Linked DNA regions of Lytechinus pictus. The protein of the gene in region 2 interacts with the protein of the main gene of each other region in a pairwise test. Links are inferred from orthologs where the notes say so. Each region holds a gene or a part of one and is shown on either strand. Other genes may lie near its edges.

The links. The genes of interacting proteins can lie anywhere in the genome.
Region 1: the proteins of prefoldin subunit 5-like (region 2) and prefoldin subunit 6-like interact in a two-hybrid assay, tested with the Caenorhabditis elegans proteins (2 studies listed by BioGRID). The link is inferred for Lytechinus pictus from reciprocal best matches to the Caenorhabditis elegans genes pfd-5 and pfd-6.

The regions. Positions count from the first base shown.
Region 1 is NC_087246.1:9,063,268-9,073,499, reverse strand, and holds the start of prefoldin subunit 6-like, read right to left. Parts: upstream 4,594-10,232; 5' UTR 4,505-4,593; coding exon 4,438-4,504; intron 1-4,437. Other genes in the region: nuclear speckle splicing regulatory protein 1-like, read left to right, coding at 10,066-10,085. UniProt on the Caenorhabditis elegans protein: Binds specifically to cytosolic chaperonin (c-CPN) and transfers target proteins to it. Binds to nascent polypeptide chain and promotes folding in an environment in which there are many competing pathways for nonnative proteins.
Region 2 is NC_087247.1:32,560,612-32,570,860, reverse strand, and holds the start of prefoldin subunit 5-like, read left to right. Parts: upstream 1-5,356; 5' UTR 5,357-5,472; coding exon of another isoform or gene 5,473-5,531; 5' UTR 5,532-5,708; coding exon 5,709-5,789; exon of another isoform or gene 5,790-6,154; intron 6,155-7,706; coding exon 7,707-7,809; intron 7,810-8,960; coding exon 8,961-8,992; intron 8,993-9,497; coding exon 9,498-9,572; intron 9,573-10,249. Other genes in the region: uncharacterized protein LOC129257427, read right to left, coding at 2,161-2,397, 3,092-3,186, 3,597-3,782, 4,153-4,211, 5,473-5,531. UniProt on the Caenorhabditis elegans protein: Binds specifically to cytosolic chaperonin (c-CPN) and transfers target proteins to it. Binds to nascent polypeptide chain and promotes folding in an environment in which there are many competing pathways for nonnative proteins.

The sequences.
Region 1 (10,232 bases), on a different chromosome or scaffold from region 2:
ACCTTAGCTTCTAAGGTACAGGTCAAGTCCACCCAAACAAGTTGGAAAAGAAGTGTAGGGTTACTCCGAGAAAAAGGTCACCCTAGAAGACAAATGTCATCTTCATATTAAAGGAGAATGAAACCCTTGAAACCAGCTGAATCCATATCAAAAAGAAAAATCAAAGAAACATATTGTTGAAAGTTTGAGGAAGATTGAATGAATAATAAGAAAGTTATGAGCATTTGAATATTGAGATCACTAATGCCATGTAGTTCCTCCCATTGGCAATGCGACCAAGATCTGTGATGTCACACACGTACAACTCCCTCATTACTTTAGTACTTATTTCACTTATATTCTCACTTTTATAGAGTCTATCACCGAGGTGAGGTGTTCTCTTTATGAGAGGACAAGTACAGAGATTTCACAACATTATATCATTGATGAATCGTTTGTCATATGATTAGAATGAGCAAAAAGAGATGTTTGGGGGGATATTTTCAGTGTCCAAAAGGGGAGAGTTGTTCATCTGTGACATCATAGATCTTGGTCACATTGCCAATGGGAGGATCTCCATAGCTTTAGTGATCTCGACATTCAAATGCTCATAACTCTTCTATTGCTAGTCCTATTTTACTCAAACTTTTGTTGATCTTATTTTTTTATTTTTCTGCTTTCACAAAGGCTAACTTGCTCCAAGAGTTTCATTTTCCTTTAAGAAGATATCTTTGGTAGAATAAGAAAGCCTCGGCTAAATTTCATCAAAAATAATTTTATGTTATGAAAATTTATGCTAATTTGGAGCTCCTAAATGCATAATTGGTAAAATGGGCATTATGTATGGGACAATTATAAAAACTCAAAGAAAATCAAAACTTCTGAGATTTAATCATAGGTGGGACATGGACTCTCAACATCTTATTACTTTTTGGGGAAAGAACTTACTTAATTTAATATGCAAATTAGATCAGTCTTGTCACATGATGGAATGTCCCTACGTAACATTTTAAGGACTTTTAAAAATATATTTCTCAGAATACAGTTCATGTATTGTTACATCTCTAGGGAGTTCTAATTTATTGAGTAAGAATATATTATACCACAACAAGTTTCAATAATATCTAAAAAAAATTAATTAGAAGTTACATATGGGACATGTTATGTAGGGGACAATTGTACACAAGTCAATGTCAATGGGGAAATTTGTGTAAAAAGTGAATATAACTTAATAGAACATTTTAAAAGAAAAAAAATCATTTATTATTTCCATATTTGAAATTATTTGAATATGGAGAAAATTGTGTACATCCTCTATGGGGACTAAATGTCCCATACATAATATGTGATTAATTTGATTAATTAAAGTCTGTAATTAGAGGGTTTTGAATTATGACATGAAACTTGCCTAATGATATACAGTACTCGAGTGTTGTGACCTTTATCACACTGAGTTACAAGTTGTAAAATGAAATACTTTTAGCAAATTCTGAACTTGAAAAAAATGTTTTAAAAATTGTCTTTTTTCTGCATTCCATACGTAACGGCACATTGTCTCTCTAAAAGGTAAAGGCCATGTGTCACCATTTTTTACACGATCATTCTTCTCTTAGATATCAACAATCATAGGGTATTCAATATAATCAAAGTCCTTTTTATTTTTGAGGTCATTACATCCTCTGAAATGTCTGTACATGTACGCCATACATGTACATAACATGTGCAAGTTCTTGGACTTGCACTGTAACGTCGACAATTTTATCAAAAGAATATATATTTAATATGAAAATTATGACATTTTATATGTTGCTTCTTTTCACAGAACAGTGATAACCAACCAAAAAATTACTTTCTTTTTAAGAGGGCTATTTTTAGAACCCCCCCCCCCCCCCCCCCGAAAAATAGCCACCCTTAATGTATTTTACGATGGCTATTTTGGAGCTCATGGGTTGTCTGTTTCAAGATTTTAACCTACTTAAATTTCAAGCAAAGTCAAACATAATAGTCTACATTTAGATCATTGCTGACATTCAGTTTCAGCCACCCATGAAATATTCATTATCACTTATTTACATAATACTTATTAAATGCAGGCATGAAAGTGAGTTTTCTAAATTAAAACAAAAACATTTTTTTGTAGAGTCTCAGTCAGGAAGAAGGAAAAAGGAAGGAAAGAAGGAAAGGACAACTGAATGAATGTGAAAGAAGGAGAGAAATAAATAAATGAAGAAATAATAAAAAAAAGGATAGAGGAAAGAAAAACAACAAAAAAATGAAAGAATGAACGTACAAAAAAAAGGAAAATAAAAGAAAGAAGGAAAGAAACTAAAGAAGAGTAAATAGAAGAATGAAGGAAAGTATGGGAGTAAGATGAGGGGAAAAAAGAAAGGAAAGAAAGAGGAGAGAAAATAAAGAAAAAAAAAGACAAAGGAAAATTAAAAAAAATAACAGAAAGAATGAATAGAAGAATGAAGGAATGCAAAAAAAGAAAAGAAGAATGAACAGAAGAAAGTAGGGGAAAAAGTAGTGGGAAAAAGAAAAGAAAGAAAAAGAGAATGAATGAAAGTAGGAAAGAAAAAAGGAAAAGAAAAGAAAGAAGGAAAGAAACTGATCGAAGAAAGAATGAATAGGAGAATGAAGGACAATATGGGAGAAAGATGAGAAAACAAAGGAAAGAAAGAAGATAAAAAAAAGATGAAGGAAAAAAAGAAAGAAAAAATGAAGGAATGCAGGAAAGAACTGGAAATTTGACATGTCCAAAGGACACAGATGCCCCCGCTTAACGTGATCAAAAATTCATTCATTACAATTGAACTTAATATCGTGCAGAAACCATGGATATATAATATAATGAACAAATTTAGACCTTTGAACCAACTGTGACCTTTGACCTGCGGACTCCGAATTAGAACATATTCTGTATTTTGGTGTCATCTACCTACACTGTATTGTACACACCAAATTTTTTTTAATTCCATAGAATTATACTAAAATTTAATACGTGATTATAAATAATAATTATTATTATTGATAATCACGTATTAAATTTTAGTATTTGTTGAATAATAATTTTATCTATAAATTGTTCTTCAAAACGGCATTTTGTAACATTGCTAATCGAAGGTACATCATAACGAAGCGGTTCACGGGTCAGACCTATTGTATTTGCTTTGTTGACAAACGGATAGAGGGATCTACACGAGATCGGTCTGGTAAGAAACCTTCAATTTTTAACCTTTTTATTAACCAATTAAGGCGTATGAAGGTGTGAAATAAAGAAAATCACAAACATTTGTGATTTTTTATCTTAAATTTTAAAAGATACATTTCCTGGACCTAGGGCCAGGCAAATCCATCTGTTTTGTTGAGTCTCTTATAGTTATACATATATGGCAGGCGGTTCAAGGCTCCATGAAGAAGTATTTGTCAAAATATTAAAAAATACCATCATGGAGTCCTCAAGGCTAGAAGAGACCTACCTCGGGCGATGTTCGTGCAGGCTCCACTCCACTTCACTACCGCTACACTCCGCTCCACCTACCCGAACATCGGGACCGTGAACCATTTCGGATATACCGAGTCACAAAGGTGGGATGGCAATCATGATAATCGTAAAAATTAAAATAAAAAAATATAACAAAAAAGATGATTGACTTAATATCTTACTCTACACCCGTATTTCACTCCGTTTCCATCCTCCTGTTATCCTCAAAATTTGTGATTTTGGGCCAGTATCAAATTCCTCACACGTATGCTATCATATTAGGATCAGGTCCACTCGATATGCATTTTGAAATCGGCCGTGAATAATACGTGTGAGGAATTTGATAGTGGCCCAAAATCACAAATTTTGATGATAACCGGAGGATGGAAACGGAGTGAAATACGGGTGTACTGTAGAGTAAGATATTAACTATTAAGTCAATCATCTTTTTCGTTATATTTTTTATGTTTAATTTTTACGATTATTAATATGATTGCCATCCCACCTTTGTGACTCGGGATATCCGAAAATGGTTCACGGTCCCGATGTTCGGGTAGGTGGAGCGGAGTGTAACGGTAGTGAAGTGGAGCCTGCACGAACATCGCCCGAGGTAGAAGAGACCCTGTCCCTAATAATACAAAAAAGGAGAGTGCAGTTAACTTAAAGGCTACCGGCAGGGAAAACACGTGGCCATTGATATACCGATCCATGCAATTTCATCGCACTTATTTCAGACGGGAAAAATCACAATTCTGTGATTGCTTCATTCGAATTGCACAGGAATCAAGTCCCAGTGTTAGGCCTACATCGGCTACATCTATGGATCGCGGAAAGTCTGTGCGATCATGCGATACCGTGGCGTGAGGTTACTGCAACTAACTCCGTGTCGTGCCCGTGGTGGGGCATGTTTTGTCATTAAATAGTGTCCGGAGAAATATGGGAATTCGTTCCTAATATGAGACAATAATACACACCCTTCTCTGATGCCTTGAACTTCTCTAGCTCCTCTTGAAGTTTTTTCTGGAGGGCTTCGTTGGCCATAGTGAAATTTACCGGTCAACCCCTTGCGCTTGCCAAATATATCGCACGAAGTATATAGTATATATAGTACCGGTACCGTAATTAAACTCGTCCAAATACGATTTCGTGCCTTTTTTTTTCGCCACATATAATATATGTTACTAAAAAAAAATTAAGATATTGTATTGATGTGTTGAATGAAATCAATAATAATCACTTTTTTTTTTAATCAAGTGCATAATACTTTTATATCTACGATGCTGTGTAGGTATGACTATGAGCAGTGCAGTGGCGTAATGAGCATATTATTTACAAAAATCCAAATTTGTGAAAGGTCTTTCCAGACAGAAGTTGAGACCCAGTGGAGAGAGAGAGAGAGAGGGAGAGGGGGATGGAGGAGGAGGGGGAAGTAATCTCATCCTATCTAATGAAATGTGATAAAGTTTATTTAGATGTAATTTTTATAACAAGTTTGAAATATAAGGATGAAAATAAAAAGATGGATTTCATGAATAACATGGTCAACAATAATTTCATATACAAAAATGATATTATTATTGCTATGAAAATGATGATAATGGTTATCATTATCATCTCCATCTGGATAACAGAATAAAAAGAAGAGAGAAGAAAAAGAAGAATAATTAGAAGAAGAAGTAGAAGAAGAAAGGAGAAGAGGAAAAGGAAAAAGAAATTAAGAGATATACTGAGAAAGAAAAACAAGAAAGAAAGTAGGAAAGGAAGTTGGAACATAATGATGAATGAAAAAAAAGAATAACGGTAATAAATGGAATAATAATGAAAAGAGTGATGTCGCACCTTTGAATTTTATGATAACAACCGTGCTTCCCTGAAGAAGGTCTGTTGCATCATACGTATGGAGCAGCCGTATAGCTTACCAAAGAGATGGAGAAAAGACCATGCAGGAACAACATCAGCTGTTCAAGCAAATCCTTGGCCTCCCTCTCCCTAAAACAACAGCAGATGGGGTTGCTTTTCTTCTCACTGGGCTCCTTCCTCTTAGTTCTCAAGTTGACCTTGAGAAGCTCCTCCTGATTGGATCAAGCATTGGATCTCCCCCACAATAGATTTGAGTATAGGACTCTATACATTCTGTAGCCAAGACCATCCCCACCATCACATCCTCAAGTATACTGTCTCCCTGACCTTCATCCTCTTCTGCTCAAACCCATCTCCTACATCACCTGCAGGAAGAAGAAGTCAAATAGGGCAGTTACGAACAAGGTTGAGGTACTGGCTGCACTGGCGGATCCAGGTTTGACAATTTTTTTTTCGTGGACGAAATCCCCTTAATTTTTGGTTAGAATCATTTTTATCTTTCCTTTTTGTGCTTGTCAAATTTTTCCTCGCGAAAATATGCCCCCCTCATTTTTTGAAAAATCCTGGATCCGCCCCTGACGGGCTGCTATTCAGTCAAAATCTACTCTTTTGCTGTGGAGGAACATCTATACCAGCGTCTAGTGCACTACTATATACCCCAGCTCCAGTAGCTCCCATGCAGTTTCTAAGAAGAGCTGTTGTTATCAAGTAGTTTGATTTGATTTGATTTATTGATTTCCGTTTCCCAATTGTACATAATATGATAAACATAACATAACAAGGTCGAAAATACTACAGGACATAAAATATATATATATAACATAATCATAGATTTAAGGAACACAATTCAATAAATAAAGTTATCTCAAATGACATTTGTATTTAAAAGTAAAACGTAGAGACTTGCCGAAAAAAGCATAGCTTGTACAAGTGGCAAGCCCCTATTTTAGTTACATTACAAAATTACAACAAATAAATATTGGGTCGTAATAATATATAGAAATTTTGTTTAAAAATAAATACAAACAATTTTTGTGCACTTGACAAAAGCGTAACTGATGGATCGTGTGAGAAAATATTATATGTTTTACAATATTATAAGAGAGAGGGGGGGGGGGGTGAGGGGGAGAAGACAGGAGGGACAGAGGAGTGCAGTATACACTAAGTAGAAAGAAAGAAGAAATAAGGCTGGCAGGAATTGCAATTTTAAAGGGATGGTCCGAGCTGAAAGTATTTATAGCTTAATAAATAGAGTAGAATTCACTGAGCAAAATGCCAAAAATTTCATCAAAATCGGATAACAAATAATAAAATTATTGAATTTTAAAGTTTAGCAATATTTGGGGGAAAACAGTCGTCATGAATATTCATTAGGTGGGCTGATGATGTCACATCTCCACTTGTTCTTTTGTATTTTATTATATGAAATGAGGTTTATTCAAATTTTTTCCTCTAAGAAGTAGAAAAATTGGAATGACAACTGATATAGTGCATTAGATATTTATTGCTGCAACTTATTTCATTATAAGGGAGACATATTATTCACACATGCAAGTATGAAATAATGAAAAAAAAATTATGATTTTATGTAATAACATACGAAAACAGAAAGTGGAGATGTGACATCATCAGCCCACCTAATGAATATTCATGACGACTGTTTTCACAAAATATTGCTAAGCTTTAAACTTCAAAAACTTTATTATTTGTTATCCGATTTTGATGACATTTTCGGCATTTTGCTCAGTGAATTTTACTATATTTATTAAGATATAAATATTTTCAGCCCGGACCATCCCTTTAAGAAGAAAAGAATAATAAAACAAATAATATACATGACTATGTATATAATATGAACGCATATAATACGAATATACACAAAAGTCGAGTATAATTAAATTAGTTATTCAGCTTGACCTGTTTGCAACGAGTATTGCAGAATTAACATTTTTTCTGTTTGCGTTTATTCTTTGAAATCTTGAGGCAGAGAGTTCCAGGAGGCAGGCCAGGAAAGACAAATGAGTTTTTTGCACGTAAAGTTCTTGTTAAAGGACAAGTCCACCCCAACAAAAAGCTGATTTGAATAGAAAGAGAAAAATCAAACATGAATAATGCTGAAAACTTCATCAAAATCGGATGTAAAATAATAAAGTTATGACATTTTAAAGTTTCGCTTATTTTTAACAAAATAGTTATATGAACGAGCCAGTTACTTCCAAATGAGAGAGTCGATGATGTCACTCACTCACTATTTCTTTTGTTTTTTATTGTTTGAATTATACAATATTTCAATTTTTACGAATTTGACAATTAGGACCCCCTTGCTTGAACCACAAAATGTTAAAATAATGGTATTCCATGTGTTCAGGGAAGAATTAAACTTGTTTCACATGAAAGTGACGAGAAAATCAAAATATTTCATATTTCATAAAATAAAATACAAAAGAAATAGTGAGTGGGTGATGTCATCGGTTCCCTCATTTGCATACCAAACAGGGTGTGCATATAACTGTTTTGTGAAATTAAGCGAAACTTTAAAATGTCATAACTTTCTTATTTTACATCCGATTTTGATGAAATTTTCAGTGTTATGCTTGTTTGATTTTTCTCTTTCTATTCAAATCAGCATTTTGTTGGGATGGACTTGTCCTTTAAAGGAAGGTGATAATATTGTCGTTGCCTTGTTGGGTAGCAGTGTACGGATGCATTTTACGGAACATGAGTGAGTCGATCCGACCATCCAACCTTATAGTGCAGGCTCATTTTGATAAAGAAGGCTATACTTCTCACATTTTTGTCGCTATGTCATTAAGGTGATGAAGACACCATATAAATACTTCATATAGCTATATAGCTGCATGCCATGACTTGTGTCTGACACTCAGCGTGATGAACTCAAAGTGGGAGTGAGAAAATATTAGGCCTTCCTGCATCGATCTGCTCCCTATTCGAACTGCATTAAGTCCATTTAATTACCTGTCCATCGAAGACTATCTTCCCGGCTAGAGGGTGGTATAGGTTCGAATCCTAGCCATGATGGCGTGTTTTCCTTCAGCAAGAAAATCGAAACGGGTGAGGTGAATGGGTACCCGGCAGGATTAAAAATGCACGAGCGCTGAAAGGCAGCTCGAGCTAATTAAGACCGGGGTAATAATAATAACAATGCGCCTCGAAATAGATTTTCGAAATAGTTTTCTTGCATCCAAAACACCACTCTTTTTGGTATAGAGGTCTTATAATAATAATAAATGAAATAAATACATAGAAATAGAATAAAATAAAATTACAAGTTAAAAAAAAAGATAAGATTAAAAAAAATGGTCCCCGGATTTTTTTTTTTTTTTTTTGGGGGGGGGGGGTTGCAACCCCCCAACCCCCCCTCTAGATCCGCTTCTGATGACGCTATACAAATGCATATCATTATTATTAATCATTATTATTTTGTTCCCAGATTTTTTTAAAAATCCCATGGGGATATTTTTCTAGTTATCCTAGAGGGTCCTGCATGAAGGGTACTTGGAGTTGTCCCGGGGCCTAATTGCTTGTCCTGGAGCAGTGGAGAGCTCATGCAATAATTGTCCTGCTGGGGGTAGTTGTCCTAAACCGGGATATTTTTATTGGGGGGGGGCCTTTTTGTTATCCAGAGTCGTCCGAATGGTAGCCATCTGGGGTATAGTTGTCGGACCCCGGGAAGGGGCAGTCAAAATGTATTGCTGTACACACGCGTGGCCAAATTAATTCTAAACACCCCCTAAACGAGTTTTTTTTCTGTGTGCAAAATAACCCTCTAAACAAGTTGTCACCAGAATATGACCCCGGGGAAATAGCTTGGGGAAAAACATACCCTAAACACGTTTGGCAATATATACAGGCTTAAAAAAAGCTTTGGAAAAAAGCATACCTAAATACGTTTGACCCTGCGATTGACCAGTCTTTCAAAACGGTGTTTTTGATACCTTTAATGAGTGCACGCACGGCCCGCGTCCAAAATTGAGAAAAAACACCCTCAGTAATGTTAAGCCCCTTGCTTCCCTCCCATTCGCGACCACCTTGCAATTTGTGACAGTCGCGGAATAGTCAGCAGGCCTGTGCCTGTGGAAGCAAAAAATTCTAGGGGGACCACTAAAATTTATTGACAAGCAAAAGAGAGAGAGAAAAAAAAAAGGTTATCAAAAAAAATTTAGGGGGGACGCAGGAAACAAAATTGACAAGCAAAAAAAAAAGTTGTCAACAAAAAATTAGGGGGGGGTCGTCCCCCCCCCCGCTTCCGCCGCCTATGGGCACAGACCATGATTGAAACTTTGATCAACAAGTGGGTCTCCACGCAAAGACTATAGAGCATACAAAACATGCTGTTTCTGTGCCTTTAGTACTCAAAGCATTATTAAGTAGGCTGCACGATCAGACCCTTATAAAACGAGTATAAGGGTTTGCACAGCAGACTAGTCGCGTAAAGGTAAAATATATATCAGGCGACTTATTTTTGGTAGAATCATCTCTTGGCGATTTTCAAAGGCCGGTACGGTCGCGACGAACTGCGCGCGCGCGTACGTACGTCTTTGGTCGATCTAAATGGCCCAGGCCGGCCCAATGCACGTCAATATGCACTAACGGTACGGTCAATGCACTAACGTTAGTCTTACGTCGCCGTCGACGTCTCTCTCGATTTCTTTGACCTGCCAAATTTCGGGAATCGGGGCTAAATATTTGAGCTGGACCTAGACCTAGTTCGGAGGGAGAGAATGGCATTCCCTGGCAAACAGTAAGTCTCTGAAAAATAGATCTGACTGTGCTGAGCTGAGTGTGAGATTCTGTCTGAGTCTGACTTAACCTGGGTCCTGGGCCCTGGGGTCAGGTAACCCGGGCCGCCTGGCCCAGGGAGCTCCGCCGTGTAATGTCAAACATGATG
Region 2 (10,249 bases):
CATGTGGGATGGGAAAGTAGATGTAGCGGGTGTAGACCGACTGGCAATTTACCCATTTTCCCAGTTAATTTGTACTAGAAACCAGGCTCTTGGTATTGAATTTGGTATTGACTTTAATTTTTAATTCAATTTCAGAGTAAATTATAATGACTTATGTTGACTAAATTTCTAGTCTACTTACAATAACAATCATGTTCTCAAAGACTTTTAAGCCAGAGTAAAACAAAAGCAAAAACATGCACAAGACTTTTCTCCTATGAATTTTTTTAATGGGATTTCGAGCAACATAATTTGAATGGTGTAGCATCTGGTAAATCACATCACGTAATCGATTAGAGATATCATGAAACATGGTTCAACAGATAGATCACAAATTATTCACAAGAATGTTTAATAGCCATGAATGGTAATCAACAACTCGAATGAGTTCAGTAGAATTCTACAAAATAGTTACATGTTGTGATTTGTCCATCACTTTTCATGGAAATTAAATATTGATGCTTGTAAACTCTGCTTAGAGACCTAGGGAGTTTTTTCCATGAAACAAATAGTCATATTCACCAACAAATTTGCTTTGAACCAATCAAATGCAAGGATTTTGCTAGCTTATAACAATAGTGGGTGAAAATCACTGTTCCATGGAATCTCCCAAGTTGACCCACATTTCACCCTCGGCTTGACACTGGCAAAGAATCTTAAAACTTTTGATATTTAAGGAGTGCTTTACAAAGATTTAAGTCTGACTGAAAAATGCAGTCCCAGTTATGTGTTGTATACTGGTATATCGCATCACCGCATTGATCAGTTCACATTTAAGTAGGAATATTAGTCAAACATAAATCTATGTGAAACACCCCCAGAAGGTAAACACACTTTGTTACACATGAACTGGAATCCCAATATATGTATTTTGTATCAAGCTTCAAGTAATGTATGATAGCAAGATTTGAATTTCACCAGCCCTACTATCACGATCAGTTATTACAATGTCCACCATGATCAATAAATATCAAACAATGATCACATTCAATATTTTCTGCAGCTTTGGCCGAGATAAACACATCATGGGGTAGATCCAGACGGCTGAGACACAATAGATTTTGAGGGGCTGACTATTCTTTACAAAAAATACTACTCCTGTAATGGTGTTGTGTCCTACCCCGCTTGGCCTGCCACTGGACAATGATGAATTGGAAGAGAGACTCAGAAGGAGTTTTTTTAGGATTGACCACTGAATGTGACCCTTCCCCTTTGACCCTGGAGAGTTAGATTGAAGCCAACACCCCTTATGATTGGTCAACAATCCAAATTTGGAATTAAACATATCAATTGATGAGAAGATAAAAATACGGAGCAAACTCCTGTCCAAAGTTCTGAATGGTCGTATTAAAACTTAATTGATGATTTTTAATATTTTATTCCTCTTCACATGTATTAAAGCAAATTCATTTTAGAACATAAAAATAATTGAACCATTCACTACGCTTAAAAAAAAAATCCATCCCAATTTTTATTTTTTTAAATAGACATGAAATGAAATACTCTGAAAATTTGCTTTGCCCAATTAATCATGAGCCCGGCAGCTGCTGTGCAGCCATATCGATGAGGCTCTATCCCTTTAATCATTAAACGGCAAACAGGGTAGCAGCACATACTTAAACATCTTTTGGTCTGACGCGACCGGGATTTAAATTCCCGACCTCCTGGTTGTGAGACAGACGCTCTACCAACTGAGCCAACACACTGGTTTCCCGCATATTCGGCCATCACTGTATATTAACTGCTTGCCATTAATTCTGATGTTGACATTAGTATTCTAATAGTTATTTTCCTGAAAGAATCATTTGATTTTTAAATCTCTAAAAAATTTGCACAATATGGTTTCATCTAGAAATGGGTCAGAGCCTTTTTTTATAATGTCTTTGTTCTACGCCATGTTGCTTTACTTCAATTTTATGTCTGAAACATTAATATTCCCCATTCTTTAAAATATTTCCTGAAGCAATAGCCAATATTGGCTATTCATTGAAGTTTCAATGTGCAGATAATTCCAATATCATTTTCATGACCATGCAGCTTAAGCCATGACAGCTCAGGTCGTAACTCCACAATGATTCTTCCAAATAGAGTCTATTGTCCATGACGACACCGTTTCAAAGGTCACCTCTTGCCTTTATTGAACTTCTGTTTCTTGTTACCAGGGTGTGGTTTGGACGATGGTATGCACATAGCGCCACCTGCAGCGTCTCCTTCCTTGAGTCCACGAAAACGAGCCATCTCCTCGTTCTTACGCTTCAGGTTTTCCTTCCTGAAGAGACTGGTACCACGTCCTGGAGAGGTGATCTCAACGTTGATGGGTCTCCCGTGAAGTTTACTCAAATGCATTGCTAACGCACTCTGAAAAGCAGACAAAAAAATTTATGTAGCATACCAATGTGACAATATTTTTTTCAGATCATATCAAGGTTAATTCATCTTTGGATAGTTTTGTATCTCCCAGAATAAACAACCTGAAACCAATGAAAATTGGGAAATGCAAACAGAGATTTAACGTAATATATTCTCGCCAGACCACTTCAAAAGAATAAATGGAATATTAAAAGAACGTTGATACTGTGTTTCATAAACTCTGATACTGGTAACAACAGAAAATAAAGTGTTCACAGAATTTGAACAAAACTTAAACAGAATTATACAAAAATAAACAAATGATATCTGCCGAACATTTTTTCAGGAAAACATATAATTACAGAGTAATGAGCAAAGGAAGATCACAAAAATATTGAAAAATGCTGTTTATATACAGTGTGGTCTCAAATGTTGTTTCCTGTGTTAGCTACACCATGAAACGCATGTGGTAATGAATTCATTTCAAGCAAGCTAGAATTGTTAAAAATGTTGTTGTAAATAAGCATTCTGGCATACGATAAACACTTAAGGATTGTTTCCAACCATTTTCCATCAATAATTCTAAACCAGAACTCGAACTGAGCTTTAAATGAATTGAATGACATAAAACATGTCGTGAAATAATGTACCCCACAGTAGAACTGATATTCATTGTTATCAAGGGAATAGATATTCAACTCACCATGTATGATTTGTTGTTTTTAAATTCAATGTAGCCAAATCCTCTAGATTTACCAGTGTCTTTGTGTGTTGCTAACCTCACAGACTTCAATTCACCTGCCGTGTGAAAATGACAAATATGAAACATTATTTAAGCCAGCCATGTAATCCAAATTCTATATTGCTATGATTTTGAATATCCTCCTTTACTAAAAATTCAATTATTACATCATTCAGACATTACTTCAATGGGACACACTACAAGAACTCAAAAAAATATCTAACTAACTACCCCCCCCCCCCCCTCCAAACCCTTCAATTGAGCTTTTCAGGCAATGTCCAATCTTTTTCCTTTTAAGTGCACATGCTGGTATTACTAACACATTGCATTATCATTTATTTGATGCAAGATAAAACAGCATTAGAGATAACATGTCTTTTTTGCGGCCGTGCCGGGAATCATACTCCGGACTGCAATGGTGTAGTCAGGCACCTTAGACGACTCCGCTACAACGATGCTTTCTTACCAGCTTTAGAGAAGTGTTTGGTTATATCCTCTGTTGTAGCACTGTATGGAATCTGACCAACAAAGAGCACATAAAACTTCTTGGTTGAGGTTTTTCCTGAGGTCTTTCCTGACTTCTTCCCCTGGGTTTCCAGGGCATCCACACTCTCTGTTTTTACTGGAGGCTTCACAGCTGCTGAACTTGATCCTAAGGGTGAAATACATTATTTCAAATTAATTAATTACACTATAAACTGACAAATATTGGATAAAATGTTATAAAAACCTGATGGCATGGTAAAATCATAATTCGGTATTTCCTATTAATGCAAACAAAACATTAAGCAGACAAATCATATAAAATTTTCATAAGTTCACCAGTTTTAGGGCTCAAAATACTGGTACCTGCCAAAAGAAAAATATAACTGGCTTCACTTTCAAATTTTTTTAAAGACCAGTCTCTGCTCAAGTTTCCATTTTACTTACGTATACATTTCTTCATCAGTATGGGAAGGGGTGGGGGGGGGGTATTAAAATAAGGGTATTGAATTAATATGAATCATCAAATTATGACTTGCCTGTGGAATCACCTTGTTTATCTTGTTCATTCTGCTGTGGCTGATGCTCACTCCACCATCTTCAATTTAAAAAAAGTATTTTTATTTAGGAAACTTTACAAAATCAATTCAGTTAAATCACACAATGAACTGTAATCTGTATAGATGTATTAAAAAAGGGTAGGCCTAATAGTTAACTGACTTGAATTTTACAAAAAATATCTACCAAAACAAAAGTGTTGACTAGCTTCAGGAGTCGGAATGGCCAATGCTAATGCAGTTTCGCACCGGCTGACTTCACAAGGATTTCCCAATCAGATTGTTCGCACATGTCATAGCAAGTCTCTCAATCACATTTCAAGGTCAATAAACCCACCACTTTTCTGATTATCGTGATCGGGAACAGCTGTATTTCGGCTTCGATCTCGACGTCAAATTCTCAGTCAAGACATCGCTTCGCTTGGAGTGGGATTCCCCTATTATATTTATATGGTCTGAAGTTAGTGACCAAAATTATGCCATTATGCTGTGAACAAACAGGTGAGCGGCCGCAGGCTGATCTTCTGGACGCTAATTTCATTCCATAAAAAAACTACCGTGAAACCAATTCAAGCAAAGTGATGTCTGAATGAGAATTTGACAATGACCTCGTCGAGATCTAACCGAAATACAGACGTTCCCGATCGCGATATTCTTAAAAGCGCTAGGTACATTAGGTGTGATTGAGAGACTTGCTAATTTGCAAATTATTAGATCTGACTTTTAATGTTAACTTAATATGGTGGGGAAATTCTCTCAAAGTCGGCTGGTGCAAAACTGTCTACGACTACGGCCAGGATTATTACCTTTATTACTGGATCTACTGGAAAAATGCAATTACTTATGCAGTCGTGTTTCCAGGTCTTGATACAACCTGTAATACCATATGACTCAAGTTTATTCATGAGCCGCTGGTGAGGCACGGAGTCAAAAGCTTATATAGTGCGACATGACATTTCATTATTTCTTGAAGTTGAAAACTTGAGGAAGAATGGAAAAACGTTACACTAACATTACAACAACTAAAATATTCCCATTTTTAAACATATTAATAATGCTTTTTGAATATACGTAAACTATGCAATGCAGGAAACACCATCAACATTGCCATTGCATTGGCATTGCTTGCATTATGTTAAATTAAATTACAATTTTTACATGTCCTTACTTACACAAAATTCAATATGTGGTGCCTGGATTATTTTTTGGAAAAATCATGATCGGTGATGATGCTGTGTCAAAATGCCTTGACTTGATGATGACTGAGGCTTGGAAAAATACTTAAAATATGTTGTTACTTACTGCATTCTACGCTCCTTTCTGGACTTCACAGTTTCGGATTTAGCACTGTTTTCTGCCATATTTGTGCGTTTAGTTTGTCCGGCTTTCGTAGTTAGACATCTCTCACGACTCGTGCGCGGATTGCAACTTTGAAGTTGAGTTGGGAGTGTAGTCACAGTTTCACTTTCAGTTTCAGTCACTTTGGTACTGACTTAGTGTTACAGTTTTTTTTACGAGTTGCGATCAAAGAAGTAACCATGTCTGAAGGAGGACAGCAAGTGGACCTAATGCAGCTTCCGATTCCACAGCTAAATGGTCTTAAAGAACAGTTAGATCAGGTAAACTTTCAATTTTTTTTTACTGACTTGAACAAGCACTTACTCGCAAAAAGGCCAATGCGATAACTGACGCATGCAATTCTAATACACACATATTCAATAGGGATATTCACAATTTTGTGATAGATTAATTGGAATTATACAGGAGTTAAATCACCGTTGATGACACATTGATTGTGCGTGGTTTGCTATGAATATGACTGAGTGGTGAAAGCATTTGTTGGGGGGGGGGAGAATATTTGAACAGCTTAAAACTAAATGAACTAATGTCTGATAAACATGAATTTATTGGTCAAATCATGCTTTCGGTAACTATTCATAGCTCGCCGGGGCCCTGTGTCCTGTGGCTGTGACACTGTGTGTGTGCTGGGCTCTTCCCGGTGGCGGTGCCTCAATGCCCTTGATCCTATTAATTTACGCATTGCTATTGTGAAATCCTTTCCTTATTTGTGCTTACCATACATACCCTTTGACCAAAACTTGTGGGCATATTTATTTTGCCACCACAATGGAATTGGGTGCCCTCATCGCAGAGATTAAAGTCTAATTGACTGTCTTAAAGATCATCGTCGAAAAGGGGGGATCCACACTGAATTAAATCATTTGATTTTACCAGTTTGAAGTAATCTTGTAACAGGTATATACAGTGCGTCTGAAATTTTTGAAATGGCTGCCACATAAAAATATATCACTTTGGGGGAAAAGTTTTATAGAGCTCTAGATGGAAAGCAAATAATGTCAACTTTCAAATGACACCAAAAAGTAGCAAATCTATTCATGCTTGAGTGACCAATGCCCACTTAAATAAAGGGCAAGAAAATTAGGCTTGGCTGGAATTAGCCTTCCAATTTCTTCTTCTTCCGTTTATTACAGTCCTCTTTACAGAGTATAGTCGTACTTGACTGAGGCCAGTTATTGGTCACCCAAGGGTTCATTACATGTCACCGCGCACAGAAAAATCAAGCCATAGAAGTCGTGTGTTGTGGACCCAAGAAGTGAGATCCCAGCACGCGCGACCCACTAGTTAGAAATCCACTGCCAAACGCGGTTCGTGGTGCGAGGTTAGTATACTAATACTAACCTCGCAATACGTGTGAGTGGTTATTGGTAGGCGATTCCTTTGGAACTCGCAAAGTTGAGGGTGTTGTGGTAAATTAATGATCAATCATGATCAGTTTTGGTTGTTTGAGTAAATTTCATGAATTATTAAATTGAAATTAATGCATGAGTGAACATGAATTGCATTTTTAGTGCTCCATTTTAACCGTCATGTTGACATCAGCAGTGTGTAATTTTTTGAGATGCTCTGTAGAGCAAGGCCACATTTTATAGAAGATGTTTCAGAGGAGAAAGGGCCAATGAGAGGGTCATCATAGCCAGTCAACAGGGTATCAACGTGATCCCTGACCATGACAGTTGATGGCCCTGGATTGGTTTTTAAAAGCACTGTTGTCATTCCAGGGGGGGAAAGGTGTCTTACAAGACTTAAGCTTGACTTGCTTAGTGTCGAGGAACAATTGATATTTTACACTCAATCTCCTTGATTAATGTGCAGTAGTGCAATTCCTCTGAGCAGATTTGTCTAACAATGTGTTTTATACAGCATTCAACTATGAATTTGAGTGTGACTTCTAGTCACACTCAAATATTTGTGAAACACCCACTGGGCCTCATTTCATAAAAAAGTGGCTTATGATAGCAACTCGTGCTGGAATATCACCTTTCATTGGAAGAGTCAATCAAAAAGCAAAACTTTCAATGTTGTCATGGTAGTTGACATTCCAGCAAGACTTTTTATCATAGCAACTTTTATGAAATGGTGCACTCACTGCACTGCAATTGGTAAGATTCAATTCATGACTTGGCACCCTTAAAGAGAAAAAGAGAAATTTATATTTGTCTCTCTTTCTATTGCAGGAGGTGGAGATGATGCAGGGTTCCTTGCAGCAGCTCAAGATGGCCCAGTCTCGGTTTATGGAATCATCAGAAAGCATAGGCAAATTAAATTCTGATAATGAAGGTGAGCTGAAAATAGAAATAATAATAATAATAGTACAGTTCTTAATAGACGCATAACACCTACAGTTCTCTGCGTGTGAGGAAAGCAGGAAATATGGTTAGAATTGTAGATTTAAAATCAAATATCAAATAATAATAATTAATAATAATAATAATCCGCTTTTATATGGCGCTTAATCGGAACGACGTGTCTACCCCGGTCATCGGATTCAATCAGTCATTCCTGCACACAATGTGTGCACATCCTCCACTTTCTATATTATAAACATCAAAGAATATTAAAACATAGATTGAACCTAACTTAGTTAAACATTCTGAAAGAGTTGGGTCTTTAATTGTACTTTGAATTGCTCAAGCTGGGTAATATTTTGTAAAGCCATCGGTAGAGAATTCCATTGTGCTGAAATCTGTCAAAGATCATGTGGGGTTATTTATTTATGCCTCCGCCCATTTTGGGCTGTGCTGGAGGTGTTTTGTTTTCGGGTTGTCCGTCTATCCAAATTTTACTTTCGCGATAACCAAAAGAAAACCATTGGATGGATCAACCTGAAACTTGGCTCATGGATGTGTAGGAGCCTGGTGATCCAGAAGTGTACGCAGGGGGTGGTTACAAGGGTTCAACCCCCCTTGATTTTTTTTGATACCCGAAACCCCCCTCCTAAGAATTCAACCTCCCCCCTAAAATTTTATTATTTTTTTTGCTTGTCCAATTTTTTTGAGGTACGAAAGGACCTGAAATTGGTGGTGAAGACCCCCTTTTTTTTTGGGGGGGTGTCAACATTTCATTCAGCTTGAACCCCCCCCCCCCTTAAAAAATCCTGTGTATGCTACTGTGGTGATCTGATTAGATTTGGGGGTATAAAGGTAAAAAAAGATAGAAATGAAAAATATTTCTTGAATCTCACATCCTAAATCTTCATTAGAAGAAATCATCATATTGCCTATTCAGAGTGTAATGATTACTCTACCTGCTCTGGAAATGTAGCCAGTTTTCTCTTTCTCATTACATGTATATTCTATGTGATTGCTAGCATTCATTATGTGTATGAAAATAAACTGAATAGGTTAATGTACACATCTATGGACTAAACAAGTAGATGTGTATATAACTGGATAAATTCTAAATTTTGATTGATATCTTCTATTCTACAGGAAAAGAGATGCTGGTTCCACTAACATCATCTGTATCCTTTATCTTATCAATCTTTTTTTTGTGTGTGAGTAATTTTTTAGTCTAGGTATAGGACTATTTAGTGAAGAGTTAAATCATACTTTTGAATAATGCATGCTCAATTTGATTTGAGAATCAAAGTTATGTACAATGTGCTCTTTGGGGGCAGGGCTATCAGTCAGGAATATATTCACTATATTTTGCAAGGTATACAAATCTTTTGAATAAAGAGTAGAAGTCAAAACTCTTTTTCAAATTGAAAATAGTTATTTCTAAAAGTGAGAGGGTTGTGATTATTTATAGAGATGTGCTCCTATTCTGCCAACAACAAAAAAAAAAGAGTCCATGCAGATGAAAGACGTTTTTTTTTCTTCCAATAGCTCAACTGTTATTTTCATCATCATACAACCTTCCACCCACCCCTATATGATAATTTGGATATTGTATTATTGTTTTCTCTGTCATTTCACATTCTTTTGGTTTTGTGAAAATTATTCCTTGACTCTAAACTTACACAGCTCTATGTACCAGGCAAATTGCAAGATGTCAATAATGTATTAATAGATATAGGGACTGGCTACTATGTAGAAAAGGTAAGTTTTCGAGAAGCAGATATAGATTTATCACATGTATATTATTACTGAAGAGGTTTTTGTCTCACCTGCATCTATAGCAGAGTGAGACTATAGGCGCCGCTTTTCCGACGGCGGCGGCGGCGTCAACACCAAATCTTAACCTAAGGTTAAGTTTTTTAAATGTCATCATAACTTAGAAAATATATTAACCTAGTTCATGAAACTTGGACATAAGGTTAATCAAGTATTACTGAACATCCTGCCTTAGTTTCACATCACATGACCAAGGTCAAAGGTCATTTTATAGGGTCAATGAACTTGGGCCAAATTGGGGGTATCTGTTGAATTACCATCATAACTTTGAAAGTTTATGGATCTGATTCATGAAACTTGGACATAAGAGTAATCTAGTATCGCTGAACGTCCTGTGCAAGTTTCAGGTCACATGATTAAGGTCAAAGGTCATTTAAGGTCAATGAACTTTGGCCAAGTTGGGGGTATTTGTTGAATTACCATCATAACTTTGAAAGTTTATTGGTCTAGTGCATAAAACTTGGACATAAGAGTAATCAAGTATCACTGAACATCCTGTGCGCATTTCAGGTCACATGACCAAGGTCAAAGGTCAATGAACTTTGGCCATAATGGGGTATCTGTTGAATTACCATCATAACTTTGAAAGTTTATGGATCTGA